2 linked regions of the Macaca fascicularis genome follow. The protein of the gene in region 2 purifies or fractionates together with the protein of the main gene of each other region. This does not show direct contact. Links are inferred from orthologs where the notes say so. Each region holds a gene or a part of one and is shown on either strand. Other genes may lie near its edges. The genes, in order: FBXW7 and SOX9.

What was found.
Region 1: the proteins of SOX9 (region 2) and FBXW7 purify together in Homo sapiens (affinity purification with western blotting; 4 studies listed by BioGRID and IntAct, with this or other methods). This does not show direct contact. The link is inferred for Macaca fascicularis from reciprocal best matches to the Homo sapiens genes SOX9 and FBXW7.

Annotation. Positions count from the first base shown.
Region 1 is NC_088379.1:157,238,626-157,250,022, reverse strand, and holds the end of FBXW7 (F-box/WD repeat-containing protein 7), read left to right. Parts: intron 1-1,664; coding exon 1,665-1,801; intron 1,802-2,752; coding exon 2,753-2,866; intron 2,867-4,133; coding exon 4,134-4,315; intron 4,316-6,172; coding exon 6,173-6,398; intron 6,399-7,985; coding exon 7,986-8,196; intron 8,197-9,246; coding exon 9,247-9,515; 3' UTR 9,516-11,140; downstream 11,141-11,397. UniProt on the Homo sapiens protein: Substrate recognition component of a SCF (SKP1-CUL1-F-box protein) E3 ubiquitin-protein ligase complex which mediates the ubiquitination and subsequent proteasomal degradation of target proteins.
Region 2 is NC_088390.1:78,445,355-78,456,128, reverse strand, and holds SOX9 (transcription factor SOX-9), read right to left. Parts: upstream 9,293-10,774; 5' UTR 8,933-9,292; coding exon 8,502-8,932; intron 7,599-8,501; coding exon 7,345-7,598; intron 6,772-7,344; coding exon 5,927-6,771; 3' UTR 3,916-5,926; downstream 1-3,915. UniProt on the Homo sapiens protein: Transcription factor that plays a key role in chondrocytes differentiation and skeletal development.

The sequences.
Region 1 (11,397 bases), on a different chromosome or scaffold from region 2:
ACTTTGAAAAGCAGAGTGATTCTGAAAACAAGTAGAAAAAATAAAAATAATATTCACCTACTTATAATAAAATCCACAGATTATTCTACACATTGAAATGAGCCAAATCTTACAGCTAACCCCTTTAACAAGCAATATAACTAATAGCAAATATATCTGATTTGCTTCCTATCACTAGTAGAATTAATAAACAATGAAAAAGTCAAGATGTGGATGATTTAAAGGAAACCCCAAAATTACATTTCCAATTAAATATCCAAATATTTAGTATTAATTAATTCTTTTCATAAATGTTTATTGAACACCTCCTATGAGCCAGACATTTCTTCAAGGTGGGGGATATAGCAGTGAACTGAAGTTCTCTTTCTGTCATGGAGCTTATGTTCTTGAAACCTATTTTTTTCCTTAGTAGAGGAATAGTTATCCTTTGTATTGGGAGAGCTGTTTTGTTGTTTTTATTGTTGTTTTCCCCAGCAGACATCCAGAAAAATATTTTTGAAAAAATATAAAAGTATTATGTGCCTCAGAAGCAAACTTTTTTTAGAAAGAATCATAGAGCATGATGCAGGTACTCTATAGGTGATCATTCCATTCATGGTGGTTATAGTCAAGTGGGAAGCATTGATGGTTAGTCCAGTTAATAAAGGTTTGAGGTAAAGATCCAGGGTACTTGGTTTCTCATCCTGCTTTTCACCTCTGTAGGACTTGGATTAATTAGTGAAATCTTCCTTCTTAAGTATCTGTATACATAAAGTGGGATTAATCTCTGCCTTCCCTTCTCCCATATAATCATTTTTTTAATGATCTTTTAAAAATTGTAATAACATATATGTAGTTTATCAATTTAACCATTTTTATATGTACATTTCAGTGGCATTAAGTACATTCACGTTGTTCTGCAACTATCACTATCATCTGTGTTCAGAACTTCATCTTCCTCACATGAAACTCCATGCCCCCTGTTATAACTCCCCATTATTCCTCTCCACAGCCTCTGGCAACCACCCTTTTACTTTCTGTCTCTATGAGTTTGACTACTCTAGCTACCTCATATAAGTGAAATCATACAATATTTTTCCTTTTGTAATCAGCTTATTTCACTTAGTGTAATGTCTTCAAGGTTCATCCATGTCATAGCATGTGTCAGAATTTCCTTTATTCCATTGTGTATATGTATCTAATGCTACATTTTGTTTATCCATCTGTCGATGGGCCCTTGGATTGCTTGCACCTTTTAGTTATTATGAGTCATCCTGCTATGAACATAGGTGTACAGATAACTGTTTAAGGCTCTGCCTTTAATTGTTTTGCTTATGTATCCAGAAATGGAATTGCTAGATCATATGTTAATTCTGTGTTTGTTTTGGGGAACCACCAGACTATTTTCCACAGCAGCTGCACCATTTGCACAAGCATTCCAATTTCCTCACATCTTCACCAGCATCTTTTAGAATCATTTTGAGAAATGAAATAGTGAATACAAAAATATGCCATATAAAGTGCAAACTTTACATTATTGCTATATACTGTGATAACAGTATTAGAAATTGGACAATGTCTTACATTTCAGTGGTTTCAAGCAGAGAGAAAGATGGAATACTTTATAAAATGTATAATTGTTATTGTTGGTGAAGGCAATTTACTCTTGACCTCTAACACTTCAGGGATTGATGAACCGTTGCACATCAAGAGAAGAAAAGTAATAAAACCAGGTTTCATACACAGTCCATGGAAAAGTGCATACATCAGACAGCACAGAATTGATACTAACTGGAGGCGAGGAGAACTCAAATCTCCTAAGGTAACTGAACTCTGCACAGTGTAACAGAAACCATTAATCAGTGTTAGTACCTAGTGTACTATTTCACTTCTTGGCAAACTGTATAATTTGACACTTCTCTTCTGTGGAAAGAAAACCATATATTTTAAAATAACTGAAAGTATTACTGACAGTATTCTTTTATTGCTAATTAATCTGACAACTAATTGTGCTTGAACAAAAGATAAGTTAAATTGAGTATCTTTTTATCTTACTTAAATGAAAATCTCTCAATATCCTGTTGAATTGTACTGTGTCATACACATTCTACCTGAGAATTTGCTGCCTTCTCTGATCACATAGTCCAAACATGATTTTTTGAGGAGTGTCTGTGTTTTGGTATTGGTGGCTTTCGTGTGTCTTATTTTTATAAATTGAAGCATAATTCTGGTTTTCTGTATTAAAACGTTTCAAATATATAAAGAATGTTAAGAACACTTTAAATTATTGAGCATATTTTTACAACTGGAAAAAAACAGTTTGGGGAGACATTGTGATACTAATATGTATATGTTATAGATTTTTTTTGTTTTGAGAATGCTAATAATTGTTACTCTTTGTGGTTAATAGATGCGTATTTTGTTCTTGTGTGTCAAAGTTGTAAAAATTAGAGGCATATTCTTCTGGTTTGAACAGATAAAATAGATTATTGTCAAATACATTGGTGTTCGAACCATCTTCATGAGGTCTTGATGCAGTAAAACTTTAATAGTTGATGTTTTGAGTATAAATAATAGACTATGGAAACAATAAAATGTTTAATTCTGAATTCGTCAGCCAGGAAAAATAATGCTTTATATTTTATATAAATTATAATTCTAGAGATAGACTACAAATTACCGTTCCAGTTTGTGCCTTCATTTTTCTCTTCACCAGTGTTTTAAAGAACATAATTTAATTAACATATTTCTAATCTGTACATCTATCTTATAGGTGCTGAAAGGACATGATGATCATGTGATCACATGCTTACAGTTTTGTGGTAACCGAATAGTTAGTGGTTCTGATGACAACACTCTAAAAGTTTGGTCAGCAGTCACGGGCAAAGTAAGTTTACTCTTCCTACACTTCACAAAGTCACAATTTTGTGTATAGCATTGCAAGTAGCAACTGGAAAAAAGAAAATCAGAATTCATTCTTGATTCTCAATTATTGGGATAGCAAATATCAGAGCTCGTAACTTAGCTTTTTCCCCCATATTTATGAAAATCAATGGCATGAGGATAATGATGTTTCTCATGATAGAGGTTTCATTAATTTTTTTTCATTTACATAGTTTGTGACAGATATTTTAACATTTTCAAGGGTGCTTTATATTTTTCTTGGCTCAATTTTTCCCCACTTTTATTTACTGTCTAAGTTATACCTCATTACTTTGTAATGTTTTTCAGAAGTATGGTTGAGGGGTATTTATTTTTCCTTATGAACTGCTTTGTTGATAACCTACCTATTGTTTAGAACTTAATAAATCATGTTAATTTATACTTATCTCAAACCCTTGTGAGATGAGAGTGGACTAGGCATTTAAATGTAAGTTTGAAGAAAAAAGTAGCCCAAGCAATCAGCTTGACCGTGTACTATATCATACCTTAATGATTCTCTAGCAAATATTTATTTGTATCTGTCCAGTAGAGAATATTTTCATGAATTAAGTAATTGCCACCTAAAAAATAACAGAAGAGAGTATGAAAACAAAAAAAAATCCATGTCTTTTAAAATGTCTTTTACCATGGTGCTTCTTGGCAAGTATCTTATAAATACGCCAAGTCAGATGTTAAAATTTTTTAAAGCAGCTTTATATTTCCATAGTGTAATATTAGTTTGGGATTTATTTCAGGGCCTTAATGTCTGTCTTTACTTGTCTAGAAGTAGCTTCACTGGCTCCTAACTACTGCCCTGGGGCAGATTCAGATGAAATGTGGTATGTAGCCACACCCAATACTGTTGGCATACTTTCATTGAATCTATTCCCATGGAAGAAACCCAGTTGCAATTTCAGTATTTTTTCATCAAAGAGACCAGAGCTATCATAATTGCTTTCATATCATGTTTCCTTTTTATTATATCATATTTTATATCATATGTTTGCTTTCTACATGTTCTTCAATTGCTTGTGCTTATATAAATTTATAATGCTTTGAATAAACAAAACTATAAATAGTGATGGGATCATTTTATACGGATGTGTAAAATAATATTTTCTGAAGAGCCAAACGAATAAATAACTTTACTCCAAATTTTAATGAGCTATTAAATTTTATTTAAATCACTTTTCCTTTCTACCCAAAAGTAATCATCTTAAGTGTTTTTCCAGTGTCTGAGAACATTAGTGGGACATACAGGTGGAGTATGGTCATCACAAATGAGAGACAACATCATCATTAGTGGATCTACCGATCGGACTCTCAAAGTGTGGAATGCAGAGACCGGAGAATGTATACACACCTTATATGGGCATACTTCCACAGTGCGTTGTATGCATCTTCATGAAAAAAGGTAAGGGAAAATCTTATCGTGGTTGGGACTTCTTCCTCTATTATTTGTGAATTTGGGCCCTTTCTGTATAGAGTTACTGAAATAGTGACAATGAGCTCTTAAATTACATTTAATTATTAGACTTCAGATGGTTCTATTCTAGGAAAGCCATAGTGTTTTGTCTTAAAATTGGGGATTGTCTGTAAGTTTCCTTTTTCATTTGCTAGTGTTGTCGGCTTCCTCTTTGAAGCTCTCTACTCTCTAATCCTTTTTATTGTTCTGTATCTTTGATGACTCATCATGTTCAAGCAGAAATCATTTTTTCTCTCTCTTTTTTTGATATTCTTACTTCTGCAAGTGGGACAAATTCAGGCTTCAAGCGTCTGAGCCTTTTTAAATTACCTACCCACCTTACACCCACCCTATCTCTTAAGTCTAGGCAAAGGCTGAGGCCTGTGAGTAATTTGTTCTCTCATTCTGAACTAGTGTCACAACTTTCTAACTTGGTCATCTTACATTTTATATGCTGACATACAGTCCTTTTATAATTATGATAGTGTCACTGCCCAGTTCTTAAGTCTTTGTGAGCCTACTGTTGACTAACGAATTAAGGAAGAAATCCTCAATCCAGTTTTCAAAATGGTGTCTGCCAAACTAGATTGCTTGACTTTTTCTTCTCAGTGCCTTTGCTATTACTTTTATCTCCTCCTGTAAAGCCCTCCTATTAAAATCCTATCTTTCTATTATCTTCATCATACCCCTGTTAAACAAGTGTGATTTCTGCCTCATTTGTCAAAAAAGGTCTCTCTGAAAGGTCCTTACAGTGAATCAATGGCAGTCTTTACCTTTAATTCTGTCTATAGCATCTTCTTATATTAAGAACCATTACATTAAGCAGATTTCACACCAGATTTGTAATATGTTTTCATTGTGTTCCATTGTGTTCTGACTTAAATCTCAACCCTTTAATTTTCTAATTTTTCCAATATGGAAACTGTGGTATTTCTTTTATCTCTTCAGAATGAATGACATAAGGATACCTGAGTTTTCAGCTTTGTTTTGTAATCCAAAAGTGATTACAGTATTTGCATATTGCTCTGGTTTTCAGGAGAGTGTAGCACTAATGTTGAACCACATGTTTAAGGGATAGCCATTGTTTTTAAAGATGTACATATCTTTAAAGATCCATATCAATATTTTTATAGCCTATTGCATATTTATAAATCTAATCATTAAAAGCATAAGCAGCCTGTGTTTGAGGACATGTCTAAAACTGGTTAATTTTTACTGGAATGTATAGTGTAAACACAAATCTGCAGCTGTTTAAATTCCAAATCCTGACTTGTTTTGTTGTATAACCTTTATTGAATTTTTTACCTAATCACAAGGGAATATATGCATCCATAATTGAAATTTTGGAAAATGGCAAAGAACATAAAGAAGAAATTTAAATTCTTTAAACTACTACCACCTAGAGTTCTCCCATTAACATTTTATACACATGCCCACATTAACATTTTATTTCTAAAATCAAAATCTTATTGTATATATTTAGAGGCAGCTACTGCTGCTTTTAAAAAAAAATACAGTGCAGTGGTTTTCAAACTCAGTCCCACAGAACCTCGAGGTGCTGGAACTAAGGTCCACAGGTCAGGGAACCAAGCATGAAGCATTCTAGGCTTCCCAACTTCCCATTCCCTTATTGTATGTTTATATACCAAGGTTTTACATAGGATTTCTTTTGACAAGAGTTGTTCCTGTGTAAGAAAAAGAAAGCTAAAAAACCTTGACTAAATCTATCATGTTTTCTCATATTATTAAAAATTCTAAACATGGGTTTTTTTGTTTTGTTTTGTTTTTCTGTTTTTCCCTCTGCAGAGTTGTTAGCGGTTCCCGAGATGCCACTCTTAGGGTTTGGGATATTGAGACAGGCCAGTGTTTACATGTTTTGATGGGTCATGTTGCAGCAGTCCGCTGTGTTCAATATGATGGCAGGAGGGTTGTTAGTGGAGCATATGATTTTATGGTAAAGGTGTGGGATCCAGAGACTGAAACCTGTCTACACACGTTGCAGGGGCATACTAATAGAGTCTATTCATTACAGGTAAGATCTCTTATCTGTCCCTTAAATGCTCTCCTGATGAATCATAAGGTTGTTTTACTCAGATAATCGCTGTCAAATTGCTGCTCCAGTACAATCCAAAAAAGATTAACCAGATTATTCTGCTGTTTTTATATAAATTTCAAAATTATTTAGATGCTTTCAATTTTCTGTGATCTATTTCTCCTCTAAATACAAATATTTGTCTTGTAACCTGACAATTTGGGACTCTAAGGTTTGCTATATTAATTAATGGTTAAATAGTCTCATAGGAGAGTAACCTGGATTTTAAGAAACTCCTTTGCAGAGGATTAATATGGCCCAAAGCTGACCCTTTGCTTTGATAGCTGAAAGTTGATGGACCATGTAATTGTGATTCCATCCCCATTCAAAGTGGAAATAGATCCTTTCTGCATAAAGCACTCTACTGTCCCAGGCCCACTGATTTGTAGTCATAAGGAAGTAAAGTTGACTAAACAGATTTTTTTTTTTTTTTGGTTTACATTTCAAGCCCATATCCTTGAAAACATTGCCATATTTTAAGATCATTGACTAGATGAATAGGAAGTTTAGAATATGAATCTTGTTTTGTTTCCAGAAAGGCAACATTTTCAATGTAAAAATATTTCCTACAGCCTATATAGTTTATTTATCAGTTATTGCCCATTAATGTTCAGCAAATTAGTACATAATCTTAGTACTGTCAATTCTGTTCTTAGGATATTTGTTTCTTTGTCGAAGGAATATTGTCCATGTCATGAAATATTGACAATATGATCAAGATGTTTGCTAAATTAGAAAAGGTGATGAATTTGGAGGAAGGGAAATTGGCTGCACCTGTTTGTGATATTCTCAGAAGCTTAATGAATATAATATTCTAATTTAAATAACCCCATTTGATTGAGAAAAGAGGTAGCCACATTATTATATAGAAATGATAGATTGTTGTTGACTTTTGGTGTAGCTGGGAAGCTGGAGAAGAGGTGGTATGTAGTTTGCTTTTGATAACAAAATGCCACCTCTTCTGATTCCAGATACAGTTATCTTTTGGCACATTTCCTAATTAGCATTAGGTTCTTATAAATGAAATTTTATTTTACACACGGTTTTTAATGGAACTTACTTTTGAACATCACGAAAGTTATCTCTAGCCCTTTTCATGCCTTAAGTGCTGATAAGCACTCCGTTTATCATAAGCTATGTCATTAGTCTTAGCTTCCTAGTGGGAAGGAAAACTCAAATAGCAATTCTCTCAGTCACCCATGATATATAGCTAGGTGGGGCCAGATGATTTGAAAATTAATATATTGTTCATTTTAGGTGCTTTGTTTTCATTTTAAGTTGCTTCTGCATCTAGTTTGAAGCAGCTTGGCATAAAGATGAAACTTTCTGATAGAAAGGTGTGAGAACATACATTGTAGAATGGCTTGGCATGCACTTTATCCTCATTGCCACTTTACCTTAGTACCTCATTTTGTTCCTGGCATTACCCATTTCCCATCCTCTTCCCCCTTTCCTACTAGGATTAAGGTCAGTAATTGATATGAAGAGCATCCGTACTTCTATTCTAATAAACTGTGTCTTTTGTAGTTTGATGGTATCCATGTGGTGAGTGGATCTCTTGATACATCAATTCGCGTTTGGGATGTGGAGACAGGGAATTGCATTCACACGTTAACAGGGCACCAGTCGTTAACAAGTGGAATGGAACTCAAAGACAATATTCTTGTCTCTGGGAATGCAGATTCTACAGTTAAAATCTGGGATATCAAAACAGGACAGTGTTTACAAACATTGCAAGGTAAGTATTAGTTACGTTTAGTTTTGTTCATTAAAAATGAGATCATTATTCAACGGAAATATGGAGCTTTAGCATTACAAAAAGAGTCAACCTCATACGGAATGATTACTTCAGAAAAGTTTATGCATATTTTCACCCTGACTTACAGAACTAGTCTACTCTTGAGGAAATGTTTTGAACTGTGTTTTTAATATATAATATAAAATTGTTTAATCACTTCCTGCATGTTCAATTGACTCTACTTAACCTTTAAGAACAGTGAGAAGAAAGATCTTGGCTATATCATAGAAGCAACATACTCATTATATTTTTTTGATTGGCCATTGCATTTTGAATTTGTAGTCCAATTTTGAAGGGCTACCTTATTGAAAAAAACAAAAGCATCCTTGATAGAAAATTTATTTGGCCTCCTCTTAGTCACGTGCTTAACTGGAATGGAGAGGAATAATAGTGCCTACTAAAATAAGAGAAAGAAACAAGTGAAAAATCACTAATATTAGATGAGGTACAGCAATGCCTCATGATTAACTTTTTCTATTTGTTATAGCCCTTAGAAAGCGTTTTTTTCTGGGGTGGGGGAGGGGGGGCGGCATCTGATAGGCAACATTGCAGCTTTTTACTCATTGGTTTTGTCTCTTCTCAGAGTTTTGGAATAGTGACCATTCAGCTTTGAGTGGTTCATAGTGGTGGAGTAATAGATCTCTTAGTGCTCATTTGTCCATCAGCAGTATGTATGGAGTTGCACTATCTGCATCCTCACCAAGGAATGCTGTCATTCACACAGCCAGAAAATAAGACATTTGTCTGGTAGCTAACCAAGGTCTTGGAAGACAGGCCTCTTGAAAGTTAATGTTTCAGTTACAAATTGCTACCAGATTTTCTTATATCCCTGCTGATCCTAAAATACTGAGGACATAGGTTTCTAAATATGTATCATTTCAAATGTTGCATTTATTGTATGTTGTAAAGTAGAAGTCTACAAATTATAATGTAACTAACCCATAGCCATTATTTCTAACCAGTAATTAAATTCTTTTGGTTTTTGTCTAGGTCCCAACAAGCATCAGAGTGCTGTGACCTGTTTACAGTTCAACAAGAACTTTGTAATTACCAGCTCAGATGATGGAACTGTAAAACTATGGGACTTGAAAACGGGTGAATTTATTCGAAACCTAGTCACATTGGAGAGTGGGGGGAGTGGGGGAGTCGTGTGGCGGATCAGAGCCTCAAACACAAAGCTGGTGTGTGCAGTTGGGAGTCGGAATGGGACTGAAGAAACCAAGCTGCTGGTGCTGGACTTTGATGTGGACATGAAGTGAAGAGCAGAAAAGATGAATTTGTCCAATTGTGTAGACGATATACTCCCTGCCCTTCCCCCTGCAAAAAGAAAAAAGAAAAGAAAAAGAAAAAAATCCCTTGTTCTCAGTGGTGCAGGATGTTGGCTTGGGGCAACAGATTGAAAAGACCTACAGACTAAGAAGGAAAAGAAGAAGAGATGACAAACCATAACTGACAAGAGAGGCGTCTGCTGTCTCATCACATAAAAGGCTTCACTTTTGACTGAGGGCAGCTTTGCAAAATGAGACTTTCTAAATCAAACCAGGTGCAATTATTTCTTTATTTTCTTCTCCAGTGCTCATTGGGCAGTGTTAATGCTGAAACATCATTACAGATTCTGCTAGCCTGTTCTTTTACCACTGACAACTAGACACCTAGAAAGGAACTGCAATAACATCAAAACAAGTACTGGTTGACTTTCTAATTAGAGAGCATCTGCAACAAAAAGTCATTTTTCTGGAGTGAAAAAGCTTAAAAAAATTACTGTGAATTGTTTTTGTACAGTTATCATGAAAACCTTTTTTTTTTTTTTTTTTGCCAACCATTGCCAATGTCAATCAATCACAGTATTAGCCTCTGTTTATCTATTTACTGTTGCTTCCATATACATTCTTCAATGCATATGTTGCTCAAAGGTGGCAAGTTGTCCTGGGTTCTGTGAGTCCTGAGATGGATTTAATTCTTGATGCTGGTGCTAGAAGTAGGTCTTCAAATATGGGATTGTTGTCCCACCCCTGTACTGTACTCCCAGTGGCCAAACTTATTTATGCTGCTAAATGAAAGAAAGAAAAAAGCAAATTATTTTTTTTTATTTTTTTTCTGCTGTGACGTTTTAGTCCCAGACTGAATTCCAAATTTGCTCTAGTTTGGTTACGGAAAAAAGACTTTTTGCCACTGAAACTTGAGCCATCTGTGCCTCTAAGAGGCTGAGAATGGAAGAGTTTCAGATAATAAAGAGTGAAGTTTGCCTGCAAGTAAATAATTGAGAGTGTGTGCAAAGCTTATTTTCTTTTATCTGGGCAAAATTTAAAACACATTCCTTGGAACAGAGCTATTACTTGCCTGTTCTGTGGAGAAACTTTTCTTTTTGAGGGCTGTGGTGAATGGATGAACGTACATCGTAAAACTGACAAAATATTTTAAAAATATATAAAACACAAAATTAAAATAAAGTCGCTGGTCAGTCTTAGTGTTTTACAGTATTTGGGAAAACAACTGTTACAGTTTTATTGCTCTGAGTAACTGACAAAGCAGAAACTATTCAGTTTTTGTAGTAAAGGCGTCACATGCAAACAAACAAAATGAATGAAAAAGTCAAATGGTTTGCCTCATTCTCCAAGAGCCACAACTCAAGCTGAACTGTGAAAGTGGTTTAACACTGTATCCTAGGCGATCTTTTTTTCCTCCTTCTGTTTATTTTTTTTTGTTTGTTTTATTTATAGTCTGATTTAAAGCAATCAGATTCAAGTTGGTTAATTTTAGTTATGTAACAACCTGACATGATGGAGGAAAACAACCTTTAAAGGGATTGTGTCTATGGTTTGATTCACTTAGAAATTTTATTTTCTTATAACTTAAGTGCAATAAAATGTGTTTTTTCATGTTAGTATGCCTGTTTCTTCCACTGAAGTAATAATCCTTCATTATAAGTATTTAGGATTTGTCTATAATATTTAAATCAGCAAAATCTTGGTTTCTTTGCATCTCCTGCTGTGTGGCATAGAAATCAATACTTCAGACCTGTTTTATACAGCAAAAGTAAGGATAATGTGCTGCAACTGCAAATCTTACTTCTCTCCTAGACTATGAAGGAGGACACTCCACTGTGCTCATCTCTGTAGATTGCATTGGGGTATATAAATA
Region 2 (10,774 bases):
TCAAATATAAAAGGGTTTGGGAGCCCTATCATACGTAAAATGTATTGTAAGTGTTTAGATTGGGAAGAGTAAAAGAAAACTTTAAAACTACACACATAGTTGAAAGGCTGTCACTCGGAAGAAGGATAAGACACACATTATTCTGCTGTGGAGGTGGGCCACCTTGGGCCATTGCATGGAAAGTGCAGAGGTAAGATTTTTCCACATTTAAAGATCTCCATGGTGCATGTGAGCTCTCAATCCATGCAGGTATTCTGGAAGCGATGGAGAAGTATTCAATAGCTGAGATAATGTATAAGAGATTTTTGCAATGCAAACACAAATAAATTAAAAGACCTTTCTTTATACCTTCCTCATTTCTGATTCCTTCCTCATTTCTGCAGGCTACATTAACCAAATCTCTAGAGATCCAAAGACTCTTTGGATACTAGGGACTGGATTTTTCTCTTGGGGTCTCTGCTAAAAAGATGATTGTGAGACCCATGAATCCATGGTTCATTAAGAGGTAGAGAGACTAATAGAGGGTTATTGGGGGGTAGGGCAGAGGGGCAGGAGAGAGTGACTAAGGTAAAAATAGAGTGGGTTCCCTTTATGTAAATGGAGTCAATTTTATATCACTGAAAAAGAGATGAAGATCAGGAGAGGAAAAATGAACTCAGCATGTTCTCACCAAAACCATTTCCAAATCCATCAACTCCTCCTTCCCTGTGCCTGTTCTCCCAGTTGGCCCTAATGAGTTGCATTTTTCCCCCATGGCATGCAAACAAGGAAAGACCAGGAAGTACTATTTATTTTTGCCTGCCTCTTCTTCATGAAAATGTAAGCCCCATGGGGCAGTCTTTCTTGTTCATGGCTGCATCCTAATCAAATGTTTACAGAAAGAATGAGGAGTGGGAATCATTCTAGAGTGGAATATGACAGCAGGAAATAATGGTGATCGGATGAAGCTCAATATAAAATCCTGAATACTCAAGGGAAGTGTCTAACCATAGCTTCAGGGAACTATTGCCCCAAATTTAGCCTGGTTGTTTTCTGAGATTACCTGGCCCATGTTGTATCTGGTCAAAAAAGAACGATTCTCCAGAAGTTCATAGTAAAATAGTTCTAGTCTGTGCTTGATGGAAGAGGAATAGCTCAATCAGGGCCCAGCAGAGTTTTCAGCTGTTGGAGTCAACGGGAGACTCTGAGAAAATGCAGGGGAGAGGTGGCAAAGAAAGGAAGAAAAGGTATGAGCAGGAAAAGGGAAGGGAAAGAATAGGAGGGCAGGTCATTGCGTTTCTGGTGTGCAAGAAACCTGTCTTATGCCCACAAGTGAAGGTCATTCGAGAAGCGAAAATTCATTTGACTCTCAGAGGGATGAGAAACTGTGTAAAGACAAGTGGTAGAGTGTTACTGCAGAGATTCCAGTGTCTTCTTTGGCAATACCATCATGTTCATGGATACAATGGAAGGGCACCTACTATGCTTCAGGTACTGTTGAGAACAGAAAGAAATCTTGCTATCTTCTACGGCAGCCTCTAATGCTGCAGTTTACTGGCCAGTAGGTGTGGTCAGGGGCGGATCCAGCTTTTGTGGGGCATGAAGCTTATTCTTTTTTTTTTTTTTTTTTTTTTTTGAAGAGAAGCTCTTTAAGAAAAATAATTTCAATTTTAAAAAGTCAAGAATAAGTCTAGAGCCTTAAAAGGAGCCTGTGCTTTTGAGAGGCACTGAAGCTTGGGCTTTGTTTGCTTCATAGTAAATCCATCTCTGGCTGTAGTGATAGTTCATCAATTACTTTAATATAAAAAGTGCCACCATGCTGCCTCAAAAACATTCATTTTGGAAATCAGGGAAGGAAAGGGATGGGATGGAGTTGAAGTGGGAAAGTCAAACAGCTCAAACGAATCCACATGGTTCTATTTTAATAATAGAGCAAAAGACTGATTCTTAAATGAGTTTATTTTTATTCCCTTTTGCTAAAAATTCCAGTTTTGTTAAAATGGTTAGCAAAGAAAAGGTTTTATTTTAAGTACAAACAAACAAATAAATAACCCTGGATCTACATACAAACTCTTTCCGGTGTAGAGGACTCTCCTTGGTTTCCAATCAATATGTTGCTGTTGCCAGGGTGATAAGCTCCGTGCTTCTGGATTTAGACTAAAAATTCCTCCAAAATATTTTATAATCTGTTGATGTTGGGCTTTGACTAGATCTGATAGATATGGGGGTGAGTGGGATTCTGAGGAATTCTCTCTCAGCACTTCTGTGTCTCTTGTGTTTTACTGTGTATCAGAGCCACTCGGGTAGCTTATGAAACACTTTTTCCTGGGTATTACTCCCAGGAATTCTAATGCAGGGAGACTGCTGTACAGACCAGGAGACTCCAATGCAGTCAATTCCCAGATTGCTCTGGGTAAAATCTCCCCTATTAACAACCTGCTTTATGTAGGAGGAATTATAAACATACTCAGCAAAAGGGGAAACTGAGGCACAGGAAAGCAAAACAACTTGCCTCAGGTCCCTTCACAAGTTTATGTTCAAACAGGACATTTCAGCTTCAAGAAGTCCTGGCAAAGGCCACATACTGGGAAAAAAGAGCATGTTTCTGGAAGAAAGAACAGTACAACAAACATACAGATTTGCTAGGGAAGGGGGTAGTCACAGTGGAATGGTGTGTGTTGATTTTAATAGACAAAGGGATTAGAATGAATAAGGTAGACAAGAATTAGTGAACACCACAGAGACTTTTTCAAAGGACTTTGTGAGTGTTGGCAAGAGAAAAAAAAATAGAGATTTTGTAAGAGCGGAGGGCCTCAGTGCATGGAAGGCTATGTCACAAACAAGGAACAGAATTTGATGTCTGAAGGGGTAGGGAAGGATTTGCACAGTCCCCCGCAGATCACAGGCCCTCAATCAATGTTTGTTGAAGGAATTTGCAAAGGAGGCCGAGTACTAATGTAGACTCGATTTGATAACTACCATTTTCCTGGTTGCCATGTTCCTGGTGTGGGATGTCAGCCAGGAATCCAATAAGCAGAAACAGACAATGTGAGGTAATGCCAGAGAGGTTGGACTCTGGTTAAGACTGTCAGAGACACAGGCCTAGTAGTAAAGCTAGCCTGAGAGGGTGAAGGTGACTGACTCTTTAGAGACACTTCTCCAATCAGCTGGGGTGTGGGAGTGGGGGTGGGGAGGTGTGCCCATGTGAGGGAAAGAGTGATTTCATCTATTTAATGAAAAATGACCTGAACGTTTCTCTGAACCTGGAAACTCCCCATCTAACCGGGGCCAAGGAAAACAGGATTAGGTCTTGTTTCTTCTACAATGGCTTTGCGTCTGCTTAGAATGAGTTAAACTGGAGGGAGCAGAAAAATCATCCCCTTTCATTGTTTCTGCAGAGAAATCTGGAAGGCTCTGAATCATTTAATGGGTTAATACGACAGGCTTCCCTCTGGTTCCCTGTAGACATTGTTTTTCTTTGGCTTCCTTTGCTTTTTAAATGGACACTCCATTTCTTGGGTATGTGTTCATAGGACAGAAAGTTTGCCATATTAAAACCAGAGAAACAAGTCACCCCTCTGGCATTCTGTCTACTGACGAGCTCCTGATTTCAGTCTAATATTCCCTCTGACCTCCACAAGGGACAGCTTTTGCCCTGAAGCATGAGGTCATGAAAACCACAACAAACATTTTTGCCAGAGTGGGCAACTACTGACATGTAATTTTCTGTGTGATCGAAATATTCAAGTGGCACTTTTTCAAGATTTCTCTGCCTAGATGTTTGGAGATACACAGTCTTTTCCTCAGCATGTTTTCTAGGATTGCCAAAGGTGCTCATAAAAAACATCACAGTCGTCAGCACTTCACGATGTCTTTTGTGCTCAAATTTGCCAAGTCGTCCAACAGGAGAACTGGGTGAATAAATCCACAGGGCCATTTTCTTTTTAATGCAATGTATATTTATTGTAAACAATAATATACAAAAAAAAAAGAGAGAAAGAAAAAGGGAAAGGTAAGTTTCACGGAGAGAACAAAAGGTTTGGGGGTGGGAGGGAAACATGTGAAACAAACAAAACATGTACACAAACCAAAGCTTACCTAAAGACAAAATATGATTTAAATGCCAGGTTTCTTAAGTTACAGAAATATCTTTTTAAAAAGATCTGCTTTTATACAGAAATTGAAGGATGCCATATTATGAGTGCTTTAAGATTTTATTCTACTGACTTCTAAAACTGTTAATATATCTTTTTTTAAATAAAAAAAAAAAGTTTGCTGTCTTTTTTAAAAAGCAATCCTCAAAACTCTCCAGCCACAGCAGTAATTAAGATTAAGGTCTGTCAGTGGGCTGATCCCCTCCAGGTAGCCTCCCTCACTCCAAGAGAAGATGCAGAGGAATTATTGATGACACATGCTTGCATTGTTTTTGTGTCAACACACACACACACACACACACACACACACACACACGATGTAGGGCGGCCCAAAGGTCTGTGGCAGAAAACGCTGCAAATGACTCAGTGATACACTACATTTGCAATCTCTCATTTGTACAAAGAGAAACAAGTTTCCAGTTTGTTTTCAACAAAAAGAAAAAAAGGATGGACAAAAAGGCATTTATACAAATCTAGGATGAGGAATCCAAAGAAACTTGCTTTTAATAATAAAAAAAGATTAAAGAGATAAATAAAAAAAAAAACTGGTTACAGTTAAGAACATAATTTAACAACAGATGACCATACCCTTTGAGGAAGGCTCCAACAACCTATTTTAAAGAAGGTAAAATTGAGAAAAAAAAATTTTGTTTTAATTAAAACCTCTCCTTACAAAATAAATAATTTTAGCACGTGGAATGTCTTGAAGGTTAACTGCTGGTGTTCAGAGAGGCACAGGTGACAGAACGAGCAGGCATCTGCCTTCCACATGGGGCCCAGGCAGGCAATGGGGGGCAGTGTGCTCGGGCACTTATTGGCTGCTGAAACATTCCCAGAACAGATTTTGTCTCCTTTGCTTGCCTTTACCTCTTTTAAGACTGCAGTGAACAAGCAAAGGCAGGAGGAAATGCACTAAAAGAGAGCGCAAATGTTTCCCAGCAGCATGGTTTTAAGGCTCAAGGTGTTTTTTCTTGTTTAAAAAAATATATATATGATAAAGCTTACCAAATGCTTCTCTAAACTATTGTTTACTCTCATAATTGCAAAATAAGGCCTTTATTTTTTTAAGGCAGCTCCTCCTCGAATCGCAAAGCCTGAGGAATTAAGCAAAGTTAACCCCCAAAACTGATCACATAACACAATTCTTTTTAAAATGTTAATACAACAGGAATTTTTTTTTTTTTGTAAGAGAAAGCAAATCTGTACAAAAATACTCTGGTTGCAAGAAAAGCTAGGGCACACTGTTCAACTAAGAGTAGTTTAGCTGTTGGAAAAATAAGAGCATTTAATTTTATCTAAAAATATGTATAAATCCCCTCAAAATGGTAATGAATCATACACAGTACATACTAAAAATATTTAAAATAGAGAATATTCCTCACAGAGGACTTTTTTCTTTAATTACTGCTAAAAAAATAATTACAAAGTCCAAACAGGCAGAGAGATTTAGCACACTGATCACACGATTCTCCATCATCCTCCACGCTTGCTCTGAAGAGGGTTTAAAAAGTCCAGTTTCTCGTTGATTTCGCTGCTCCATTTAGCCAAGGTTGGCCTGGCCACTGATTGGCCACAAGTGGGTAATGCGCTTGGATAGGTCATGTCTCTGTCTTGGAAATTTGGGTACGAGTTGCCTTTAGCTTAAATGTCTTTAAGGAAGAAGAAGAAGAAAACAAAAAACAAAATAAAAAACAAAACCCACAAATGTCCAAAGGGAATTCTGGTTGGTCCTCTCTTTCTTCGGTTATTTTTAGGATCATCTCGGCCATCTTCGCCCTTCATAGGAGGCCTCCTCAAGGTCGGGTGAGCTGTGTGTAGACGGGTTGTTCCCAGTGCTGCGGGCTGTGGGTCTGCGGGATGGAAGGAACCCCAGAGGTGTCGGCGATGGGGGTGTACATGGGGCGCTGGGCGGGGTTCATGTAGGTGAAGGTGGAGTAGAGGCCGGTGCCCTGGCCCGCCGCGTGGCTGTAGTAGGAGCTGGAGTTCTGGTGGTCGGTGTAGTCGTACTGCGAGCGGGTGATGGGCGGGTAGGAAGGGCTGTAGTGCGGAAGGTTGAAGGGGCTGTAGGCGATCTGCTGGGGCGAGTGCTGCTGCTGCTCGCTGTAGTGGCTGGGGCTCAGCTGCTCCGTCTTGATGTGCGTTCGCTGGGACTGGCCCGGCTCGCTGCTCAGTGTGGTCAGCGTGTGCGCCTGTGGCTGCTGTGGGGGCGCGGCCGGCTGCTGCGGGGGCGCCGCCTGCTGCTGGGGGGGCGCCTGCGGGGCCGGCGGGGCCTGCGGAGGCTGCTGCGGGGGTGGCGGCGGCGCCTGCTGCTTGGACATCCACACGTGGCCCGCGCCCGCCGGGGTGGCCGCGGTGCTGCTGATGCCGTAGCTGCCCGTGTAGGTGACCTGGCCATGCGTGGCCGGCACCCCCGGGTGGCCGTTGGGCGGCAGGTACTGGTCAAACTCGTTGACGTCGAAGGTCTCGATGTTGGAGATGACGTCGCTGCTCAGCTCGCCGATGTCCACGTCGCGGAAGTCGATGGGGGGCTGTCTGCCTCCCTCTGGCAGGGGGCGCCCCTCTCGCTTCAGGTCAGCCTTGCCCGGCTGCACGTCGGTTTTGGGGGTGGTGGGTGGGGTCGGTGGGCCCTGGGATTGCCCTGCGGACAATAAAAGAACAAGCACGGGAAAATCAACAAGTGCTGTGCAGACGCCCTAGTCTTAGGCACCCTCCGGGGACCCTCCCTCGCTGCTAAAGTGTAGTAAGGGCCCGCACCCGCGCGGGAGGCGCGCTGCACCGGAGATAACTCGCCCAATGATTAACCCGCCGGTACACACTGGACAGCCCCCTTTTATCAGGGGAGGGTCTGGGGCCCGGAGGGTCCGGAAGAACAAATTGCTACTTGTAGAAGAGCCCTGTGTATGCTTTTGGGGTGGGGGAGCAAAGGAAGAAGGGGGAGGTCTCGTAAGGCTTGTAAGGGCATTTTACCTCCCAATAAAAAGAGTTAATCTCTTCGGATGCTGGGATTGAGTTGGGGTGTGTGTGTGTGTATGTGTGTGTGTTTGGGTGCCTCTTAGGCTCTGGGTAGAGAGGGGGAGCGGGACAGGGGCAAAGGGTAGTGTGTACCTCCCGGGAAGCATAAAGTCTCCACAAAGAATCTCCCAGGTGGAGGGCAGGGGGTGTGCCAGGCGGGCCGGGGTGGCTTGTCCTGCGGGACTGAGGGGCGACTCACCCGAGTGCTCGCCGGGGGAGTGCACTTCGCTCATGCCGGAGGAGGAGTGCGGCGAGTCAGCCTGCAGCGCCTTGAAGATGGCGTTGGGGGAGATGTGCGTCTGCTCCGTGGCCTCCTCTGCCTCCGCCTGCCCGTTCTTCACCGACTTCCTCCGCCGCGGCTGGTACTTGTAATCCGGGTGGTCCTTCTTGTGCTGCACACGCAGCCGCTCCGCCTCCTCCACGAAGGGCCGCTTCTCGCTCTCGTTCAGAAGTCTGCTTGGGGCGGGGCGGGGCGGGGGACACAGAGAAAAAGAGGGAGAGGGGTCAGTGAAACCCGCCAAACTGTCAGGTCGGCGGGGAGGAGGCGGCGACCCAGACCACTTGGCTTCCTTTGCATACAACTCCATCTTCCCTCCCGCCTGCAACCACGGCTTATAACTTTTCTTAAAAATAAACAAATAAATAAATAAGTTCTTGCAGTCCGACCTGAGCGGTCACTCCCCGCCCCCTCCATCCCCTCCCCTTTTATTTCTATTTTGGAAACGCTGAAGATGAAAACGACTCCTGCTGCTGCCCCCTAAACGCCTTTGCTGCTGGAGTTATCGCCCCCAATCCCAACACCCTTAAAAACTTTTCCCCAATTACTCTCCAATTCTCACCCCCCCATACACTCCCACCTATTTCCAGCAGCCTCCCTCCTCCCGCCTTCCAATTCCTGCCAAGGGTCTCCTCCAACCTCGGTTTCTCCCCTGCCCCATCTCCGTGGGGGTGTGTGTGTGTGGGGAGGAGGGGGCTGCACGAGACAGTGCAGTTTTAAGGGGCGGGGTGGGGGAAGCCAAGCTTCACTTCCCCGCCCCGATTGAGCTTCCAGGCGACGGGAAGGCAGGATGGCAGCCCCCTCCTTCCGTCTCCCACCAGTCTTCGTCCATCCTCCAGCTACCTCCCCCACCCCTTCCACTTACCACCCCCTCCTCCGCGTCCCCGCGAGCAGCCCAAGAACTTTGACAAACTCTGAGCCACAGTTACACCCCGTTCCCACTCCCACACCCCCATCCCGCCGGCTCCCGGAACCGCAACTCCCGGGCGATGGGAGGCGGGGCGGGGCAAGTCAGCCCTGGCCAGCGCCCCCCGCCGCCACGATGCCCACCCTGCCGCGCCGCCCCCGCTGGGCCCTACCTCCAGAGCTTGCCCAGCGTCTTGCTGAGCTCGGCGTTGTGCAAGTGCGGGTACTGGTCCGCGAGCTTCCTGCGCGCCGCCTGCGCCCACACCATGAAGGCGTTCATGGGCCGCTTGACGTGCGGCTTGTTTTTGCTGGAGCCGTTGACGCGCACCGGCATGGGCACCAGCGTCCAGTCGTAGCCCTTGAGCACCTGGCTGACTGCCTCGCGGATGCACACGGGGAACTTGTCCTCCTCGCTCTCCTTCTTCAGGTCGGGCTCGCCCTTGGGGAACGTGTTCTCCTGGGGCCGCGTGTTCTCGGTGTCCGAGCCGGAGCCCGACGGGCAGGGCGAGCCCGCGGAGTCCTCGGACATGGTGGGGCTGGGGGCGCCGGACAGGCCCTTCTCCTGCTCGTCGGTCATCTTCATGAAGGGGTCCAGGAGATTCATACGCGGGCCCGGGGCAGGGGGCGGGTGGCCGGGAAAGGCGAGAAGCCGCGGCGGCTCGGGGACTCGAGGCGCGGGCTCCTCTCCCCTCGGCTGCCCGGATGCGGAGCGAGCGGCTCCCGGGGAGGCTGGCGCGTCGGCCGGCTACCACTTAGGGAGGCGCGGGGCCAGTCCGCAGCTGCCCGCTCCAAGTAGGGGGAGGCGAATTGGAGAGGAGGAGGAGGGGAGGAAAAGGAGCAAAAGTGGGGGCGCTTGTACCCCTTCTCTTCTCCTCCTGCAAAGAAAAGTTTCCGGGGTTGAAACTGGCGAGTCTCCGCGCCACTGAAGTTTCCAGTCAGTTTCGAGCTCCGCTCTCCGCTCTCCAACTCCCAGCCCAGGGTCTCTTTAATAAATACTCCTCCTCACCTTAGAGCCACCCGCCAATCACAGCACAGCAGTCCCAGGCAGCTGATTGGACCCGATTTTGGGGAGGGAGGAGGATTGCGGCACTGGGCTGGGTGACGAGACGGGAGGGGAGAAGAGGGGAGGGGAGCGCAGCCGAAGGGTGGACGGTCGGGAAGGGGGGGCGGGGGGTGCTGCGGGAAAGGCGGGGGACCCGGGACTTCCAAGTGTGTAAGTTTGTCGAACTCTCGGAATGCCAGAATTTTAGTGACTTCTCCGCGCGAATCTTTGTGTGTGTGTGTGTGCGCGCGCGCGCGCAAGTGTGTATGTCTAGACTAGGATCTACCCCCACCTCCGACATTTATTTTCACTGCTCTCTCCGCGGCACAGGGGACTTAGCTGGAGTTTGTAGTATTCGAAAAGCAGCCGCTTCTTAATGTGTAGCCGAGTTTACGCGCCTGGGGCCTGCCTGCCTGCAAAAGTGCTTAGAAATAGTCTTTTGAAGCAAATGTTTTGGTGACTCAACGCCCGCTGTTCCTCCGTAATAATCCACATAAATAGATTAACATGCTCGGGTTCGCCGGGGCTGGTGCGGCTGGTCAGGATTCTGCTGCGCTTTTGCAAAGGGAGTCAATGGAAAGCAAAGCTAAGTCCCCGCGAAGGTTGGCAGCGGCGGCCGTGGCCACGCAGGATCCCCGCGCTCTCGGGGCCGCCCCGCGCCACACCGACCTTGAGCTCTGACAAGTCTTTCTCCAGTCCCGCGACCCCGCCGACGCTCCTCAGTAACAGGGCTACTGCTCTGACGTTTTGGTCTTTGCCTCCTGGCCGAGTCAGAAACGTCAGCCGAGTCGTCCTGCCTGGGGAGAGTTTGCTAACTGCTCTGGCTTTGAGAGATCGAAGTTTGCCAATGCGGCTGTCCCGGGCCGCGAGGCCCAGGCCGGTCACTTGGTTTGCAAAAGGCCAAACAAATGGGCACCACGGCAGACAAAATGCTCCACTCTGGCAGAGTCGTGCTGCTTGCCCGCTTTTGCTGGCATTTACTAAACACCTGAAGGGGTGAAGCGCTGGTGCTTCTGACTCCAGTCCGGTCGGTTCAGACCTGCATATAGTTTGGAGTTCTGGGGGAGGCATTGGTGGTGTCTCTCATGTATTTCAAGTGTGATTTGAGCACAACCTTTGTGTTCACACGAAATGCTTAGAGCCAGGTTGGGTAAGTGCAGAGCTATCTGCTCTGGGACAGAAGAAAAATCTTGGTCGTTGCGGGTTCCGTGCTTTCAGAATCCCAAATAAACGCATAACATTGGGAAAACTCTTTAATTTTAAACTCCCCGCCCCTCCCCCCCCTTTTGAACTCTTGCAAAAATTCGCCTCTAATTAAATTGTTGTTATGGTGAATCGGCCCACATCATATTAAAAACTTTTTTTTTTCCCCTTTCTAATTTGCGAAGTGAGGACACTATCACA